Anolis sagrei: one gene and its partner. The protein of the gene in region 1 interacts with the protein of each later gene in a pairwise test. Links are inferred from orthologs where the notes say so. Each region holds a gene or a part of one and is shown on either strand. Other genes may lie near its edges.

What was found. The genes of interacting proteins can lie anywhere in the genome.
Region 2: the proteins of REL (region 1) and EXOSC1 interact in binary tests that used the Homo sapiens proteins (3 or more experiments, as listed by UniProt). The two-hybrid records come from large-scale screens. The link is inferred for Anolis sagrei from reciprocal best matches to the Homo sapiens genes REL and EXOSC1.

What each region holds. Positions count from the first base shown.
Region 1 is NC_090021.1:12,673,872-12,677,624, reverse strand, and holds the start of REL (proto-oncogene c-Rel), read left to right. Parts: upstream 1-1,444; 5' UTR 1,445-1,693; coding exon 1,694-1,700; intron 1,701-3,753. UniProt on the Homo sapiens protein: Proto-oncogene that may play a role in differentiation and lymphopoiesis.
Region 2 is NC_090023.1:217,772,468-217,776,220, reverse strand, and holds the start of EXOSC1 (exosome complex component CSL4), read left to right. Parts: upstream 1-836; 5' UTR 837-910; coding exon 911-938; intron 939-3,753. UniProt on the Homo sapiens protein: Non-catalytic component of the RNA exosome complex which has 3'->5' exoribonuclease activity and participates in a multitude of cellular RNA processing and degradation events.

The sequences.
Region 1 (3,753 bases):
GAATGTTTCAATTGGCCATCTTGATTAGCACTTAATGGCATTGTAGCTTCAAGGTCTGGCTTCTTACTGCCCGGGAGAATCCTTTGTTGAGAGGTGTTATTACGGAATCCTGGAAGTTGCAGTTTGGTGAGGCATTTGGGAGAACTCTTTGTTTGTTGGAGGTAGGTCTGAATGTTTCAACTGGCTACCTTAATTAGCACTTAATGGCCTTGCAGCTTCAAGATCTGGCTTCTTACTGCCTGGGGGAATCCTTCGTTGAGAGGCGATGAGCTCTCTTACTGTTATTACGGAATACTGGAAGTTGCAGTTTGGTGAGGTATTTGGAGGAACTCTTTGTCTGTTGGAGGTAGGTGTGAATGTTTCAATTGGCCACCATGATCAGCATTTAATGGCCTTGCAGTTTCAGGGTCTGGCTTCTTACTGCCTGGAGGAATCCTTTGTTGAGAGGCATTATTACAGAATCCTGGAAGTTGCAATTTGGTGGGGCATTTGGGAGAAAGAACTCTTTGTCTGTTGGAGATAGGCGTGAATGTTTCAATTGGCCACCTTGATTAGCATTCAATGGCCTTGCAGTTTCTTACTGCCTGGGGGAATCCTTTGTTGAGAGGCATTATTATGGAATCCTGGAAGTTGCAATTTGGTGAGGCATTTGGGAGAACTCTTTGTCAACCAGGCACATCTTAACACCTCTCAACGAAAGATTTTCCCAGGCCCAGGCAGGCCTTCAAATGCTAATGAAGGTGGTCAGTTGAAACATTCACACCTAGCTCTAGCAGAGAAGAGCTCTTTGCCCCACCCCAGCCATTCCACAGATATATAAACCCATTGTCCTATTTCCAACAGACCTCACTACCTCTGAGGATGCTTGCCATAGATGCAGGTGAAACGTCAGGAGAAATGTCTCTAGAACATGGCCCTATAGCCCAAAAAACCCCACAAGAACCTAACTCTTTGTCTATTGAAGATAGGTGTGAATGTTTCAATTGGCCACCTTGATTAGCATTCAATGGCCTTGCAGTTTCTTACTGCCTGGGGGAATCCTTTGTTGAGAGGCTCAAGAAGACTATGGTAAAACTATAACTCCCAGCCTCCCACAGCAGCAAGCAACTGGCAAATGCAAGTGGTCTGGAGCTGAATCCTTTCTCGAGTGGAGATGCACCAAAAGAAAAGAAGTTGGGTGAAGTTTGAGAAGGTGGGAGAGTGGTGGGCGCGCCTTTGAAGAGGGGGCTCCCCAAACCTGACCTTAAACCCTCAAAGGTTAGAATGCCCTCCCCCCCTTTTTTTGGAGGGGAGTGTGGCTTGGTGTGACGGGGAGTCACGCTCTCTCAGCCCCTCCTACTCCTCTCTTGCCTCTCTCTCTCTGTGCGCCTTATCTCCTCCTTGGCGCACCGGGGTTTTGGTGGTGGGAGGTGGGAGGGGAGACCCACGAAGAAGACGTCACGAGGAGGACGTCACAGGGTGGAAATTCCCCGCCGGATTGTAGGGGGAGCGGGGCGGAGGCTTCGAGGAGGAGGGAGGTCTCCAGCCAGCGCCGCCTCCCAAGGAGGGAGCCTCAAAACCTGCCCCAACCAGGAGGCACTCTTGCCCAGGAAGGAAGACACTCAGAAGGACCAGCTGGATCCCAGGAGAGGCACCCCAAGCCGGGCAAAGAGCTCTTCCCCTTCTCCACCGGGTCCAGGGAGGACAAGCCACCATGGCAGGTAAGCAGGAGGGAGATCTAGTCTTACCCAGTGGAGGGAACTGCATCCAAACTCATAGGAATCCAAAGGTAAAGGTCCTCCCAGGTTGGAATCTTCTCTCTTGGAGGTCCCAACACAGTGACACTATCTATGGCAGGTCTGGGCAAACTTCTGCCCTTCCAGGTGTTTGGACTTCAACTCCCACAATTCCTAACAGCCGGTAGGCTGTTAGGAATTGTGGGAGTTGAAGTCCAAATCACCTGGAAGGGCAGAACTTTGCCCAGGCCTGATCTATACTGAGTTGAAATCCAAAACACTTGGAGGACCAGAGTTTGCCCATTCCTGATCTATGGAGTCATGGAAGATTAATTTCCAAAGGTCTTTAGACTTCCCTAATTTCTCTAAATTAGACTTCCCTAGTTATAATAATAATAATAATAATGAACTGCAAAGACTCTGGCACAAGCCAGTCAAGGTGGTCCCAGTGGTGATCGGCACACTGGGTGCAGTGCCTAATGACCTTGGCCTGCACTTAAACACAATCGGCACTGACAAAATTACCATCTGCCAGCTGCAAAAGGCCACCTTACTGGGATCTGCACACATTATTTGCCGATACATCACACAGTCCTAGACACTTGGGAAGCGTCCGACGTGTGATCCAATACAACAGCCAGCAGAGTGTCTGCTGTGGACTCATCTTGTTGTGTTTCAAATAATAATAATAGGGTTGTTGTAGGTTTTTCGGGCTGTACGGCCATGTTCTAGAAGCATTATCTCCTGATGTTTTGCCTGCATCTATGGCAAGCACCCTAATTGAAAAACTAGAGAAAAATGAGCTATGGCAGGATGGCACCTCTTGCAAAAACAAACTTTAAGAAACTTCCCCCATGTTTTTATGAAAGAACCAATTAGGAAACAACAGTGATAACCCAGGAACAAGACGTAATTATAGTTGTTATTGGGTTGTTGTGAGTTTTCTGGAATGTATGGCCTTGTTCCAGAAGCATTCTCTCCTGACGTTTTGCCTGCATGTATGGCAGGCAGATATATAAACCCCACTTTCCTAGTTCCCAGCAGACCTCACAACCTCTTGAGAATATATAACCTCTGTGAATATATATATGACAGATATATAAACCTCACTTTCCTAGTTCCAACAGACCTCACAACCTCTGAGGATATATATATGGCAGATACATAAACCCAACTTTCCTAGTTTCAAACAGACCTCACAACCTCTGAGGATGCCTGCCATAGATGCAGGCAAAATGTCAGGAGAGACTGCTTCTAGAACATGGCTATACAACCTGAAAAACCTACAACAACCCAATGATTCCGGCCATACAATAATAGCCTTCGACAATACAATAATAATAGGTTTTTCCATGATATTAAGTCCAGTTGCATCTGACTCTGAGGGTTGGTGCTCACCCCCATTTCTAAGCCAAAGAGCCGGCATTGTCCGTAGACACCTCCAAGGTCATGTGGCCGATATGGCTGCATGGAGCGCCGTTACCTTCCTGCCAGAATGGTATCTATTGATCTATTCACATTTGCATGTGAACTGCTAGGTTGGCAGAAGCTGTGGCTGACAACGGGAGCTCACTCTGCTCCCTGGATTCGAACCTGTGACCTTTTGGCCAACAAGTTCAGCAGCTCAGTGCTTTAACCCACTGCGCCACCTGTGGCTCCAATAACAACAACAACAACAACAATAATAATAATAATAATAACTATTATTAACCAATTAACTGTAATGACCAATTCGGAAATGATATTGATAATCCAGGAACAAAAAATGTGTTACGTAGTATAATAATACTAGTATGTTGTCGAAGGCTTGCATGGCTGGAATCACTGGATTGTTGTGAGTTTTCTAGGCTGTATGGCTATGTTACAGAAGCATTCTCTCCTGACATTTTGCCTGCATCTATGGCAGGCATCCTCAGAGGTTGTGAGGTCTATTGGAAACTAGGAAAGTGGGGCTTATGTATCTGCCATACACACACACACACACACCCTAAGGGGTTGCGAGTTCTGTTGGAATTAGGAACGTGAGGTTTATATATAT
Region 2 (3,753 bases), on another chromosome or scaffold:
TGTTTGTGTATATATGTCTGTCTGCTTATATATATATATATATATATATATATATGCAGACAGACATATATAAACACATACACAAATATATACACACACATAAAACTCATATACACAGACTGGGCCACATCAACGCGTGGCAAGGGATGTTTAGTTATATATAAATAAATACCCCCTTGGAGCAATCTACACTGTAGAATTAACACAGTTTGACACCACTTTAACTGCCCTGGCTCAATGCTATTGGAATCCAGGGGTTTGTAGTTAGATGAAGTACCAGCACTCTTTGGCAGAGAGCTAGCACTGAGCCAGGGCAGTTAAAGCGGTATCAAACCGCATTTATTCTACAGTGTAGCTGCACAAACCGGAGGAAGAAAATACTGCACATCCATTCATAAAACCTCTTAGAAGCTGGAGGTTAATATGGGGAAAGCCAGGTCATTATGAAGGGAAGGAAGGAAGAGAAATCATCACAGCCTCCTCTTTGTGATTGAAAGGGTGGAGGGATGCCAAAGGCTTAGCTATGGAAGACGAGCTCCAAAATAACAATGGAGAGGAACAAAGGAGACTCTCTCCTTTAGGGTTCAAAGCATGCAACACAACGAGGCCAAGGCACGGAGCTTACCTGTTCCTGCCATCCTCAGCCCCAGACGCTTCCCGGTTCCTGCCTCACCTGAGCATCTTCTCTCCCACCCTCCCTTTAACAGCCCCGTCCGCGCATGCACGCTGCATGTCCCGAATGGAACTACGATTCCCGTCATGCCCCGCGCGGCGCCTAATACTCTTCCTCCGACATTTTTTCTCTCTCTCTCTCCCGGACGTCTCCCAAACCGGGGCGAAGCAGTCACGTGACCACGAGAGTAGCCAATGGGAGGCTCGGAGGCCTGGCTGTGGAGAGAGCCTTTCTGTCATGGCGCCCGCGCGGTTTTGCGTCCCTGGTGGGTGACCCAGAATGGGGAATGGATTGGATTGGCGGAGTCTTCGAAACGTGGGAGGGGGCCTCAGTTTATGGAGACATCGTGGGAGAGAAGAGAGCCTTCTGGAAATTGTAACTTCTATGTTTTGGCTGTTGAAAAGGCCAGTGCCATTCTAGGCCGCATCAATAGGAGTATAATGTCTGTATCAGGATCCAAAATGGCTTTTGAACAGGTTAGAGTCGGCATAGGCAAACTTAGGCCCTCCAGGTGTTTGGGACTTCAACTCCCACCATTCCTAACAGCCTCAGGCCCCTTCCTTTTCCCCCTCAGCCGCTTAAGCAGCTGAGGGGGAAAAGGAAGGGGTCTGAGGCTGTTAGGAATGGTGGGAGTTGAAGTCCCAAACACCTGGAGGGCCCAAGTTTGCCCATGCCTGGATTAGAGAGATGGGCCAAAACTAGAAAGAATTCCATCAGGGAGAAATGTAAGGTTTTTACACCTGGGCAATAAACATGAAATGCTTTAGGATGGGTGACAACTGGTTTGAAAACATGTGAAAGGCATCTAAAAGTCTTAGTCGACCACACGCTGAATGTGAGTCAATAGTGAGATGCAGCAACTAAAACAGTCAATGCGATTCTAGGCTGCATCAATAAGAGGATTTATTTATTTATTTATTTGGGGTGCTTCTACCCCGCCCTTCTCAACCCCCTAGGGGGGACTCAGGGTGGCTTACAAAAGGCACAATTCGATGCCTAACAATTACAACATACAATACCATATACAATACACAAATTTACCACATAATATCACAGTTATAACTAATTAAAACCATCAGACAGTATACTAGCAACAATAAAAACATCTTGTGGTCAGTGTTCACCAAATCCAAGTCCGTAAACAATTTAGCATTGTCATTGTCCTTTCCTACTCTGGTCATTCTTGGTTGTCTTTTTCCATCTGCCAGCTTACCCGAAGGCCAGGTCCCACATCCAGGTTTTTAGCTTCTTCCTGAGGGAGAGGAGGGATGTTGATGTCCTAATTTCCCCGGGGAGTGCATTCCACAGGTGAGGGGCCACCACCGAGAAGGCCCTGTCTCTCATCCCCACCAGTCTCGCTTGTGATAACGGTGGGGCCAAGAGCAGGGCCCCCTCAGCAGATCTTAAACTCCAGGGTGGGACGTAGAAGGAGATACATTCGGACAGGTACGCTGGGCCGGAGCCGTAAAGGGTATCAGAATCCAAAATGGTGTAGAGATCAAGGGAAGTCCTAGCCCCCCCCCCCCTCTATTCTGCTTTAGTCAGACCTCACTTGGAATAATAATCCAAGTAATAATAATTGAAAAGAGATATTGACAAGCTGGAAGGTTCTGGCCCAGCCTACCTGTCTGAACATATCTCCCTCTATGAACCACCTCGGAGGTTAAGATCTTCTAGGGCTGAGACTTCCACCTTGGTCCATATATCAAACGGAGAATGTATTGGGAATCTCACATCAGAACAACATACTTTATGTGTGACCAAGACCCAAAAATTACATATAAAACAGCTCTGTACTTAAGCAAAACAATACGTCTGAGAACCACATATGTAGGGCTGATTGGGGGTAAATTGTAGGGGTGATAATGAAATATGATGTATATACTCATCTTGATAAGTTTATCAGTTTTATCACGTCTTATATTTATTTACAGTGTTGTTATAAGTGTCGTATTTTAACTTACTAAGTGGAGTGTGATAAGGTCTTTTCAGTCCTTGTTGTTTTCTTTCTTATTGTGATATGGCCTAAGGGCTAATCAATAACATTACTTACTTACTTCTAGGGCAGTGGTTCTCAACCTGTGGGTCCCCAGGTGCTTTGGCCTACAACTCCCAGAAATCCCAACCAGTTTACCACTGTTCTAGGGAGACCCTGCTCTCGGTCCCACCTTCGTCACAGGTGCGGCTGGTGGGAACGAGAGACAGGGCCTTCTCAGTGATGGCTCGGCTGTGGAACTCACTTCCCAGGGCCCTTCCAGATAGGCCCTTTATCCCAGGATCAGATCCCAAGTTTTCTGCTTTAAACTGGATTATGAGTCCACACTGCCAGATAACCTAGGATAAACAGATAATCTGGGATCATATCCTGGGATGAAGGGGCAGTGGGGAAGGGGCCCCAGTGAAATCAGATCAGCTCCCTCCCTCCGGACCTTTAGAAAGAAACTAAAAACCTGGCTATGGGACCAAGCTTTCGGAGAAGTCAGTGCAATAGGCAGCTGTGAAGTAATTGCAACACAATTGGAATGCCTTCTGGATTATGACTTCGGATCTTATGTGGTTTTTAATAGATATTCTATTATTTTTAAAATTTGTATTGATTTTAGTGTAGGTGTATATTGTATTTGTATATATTTGTAATTACTGCCAGTTTGGAAGCTGCTCTGAGTCCCCTTTCAGGGTGAGAAAGAGCAGGGTAAAAATACAGTAAATAAATAAATAAGGCGTCCACAGAGAAGGGCTACCAAAGTGAGCAAAGGTTTGGAAACCGAGTCCTATGAGGAGCCACTAAGGAATGTGAGTGTGTTTAGCTTGGGGAAAAGAAGGCTGAGAGGACATGAGAACCATGTGTAAATATTTGAAAAGATGTCACATTGAGGAGGAGAAAAGTTTTTTCTGCTGCTCTAAAGATTAGGACATGGAGCAGTAGATTCAAACTGCAGGAGAAAAAGAGTCCACCTAAACATTCAGAAGAATTTCCTGATGGTCAGAGCTGTACGGTTGTGGAATATATTCTGATAGTCTCCTTCTCTGGAGGTTTTAAAGCAGAGGCTGGATGGCCATCCCTTGGGGGTGCTTTCATT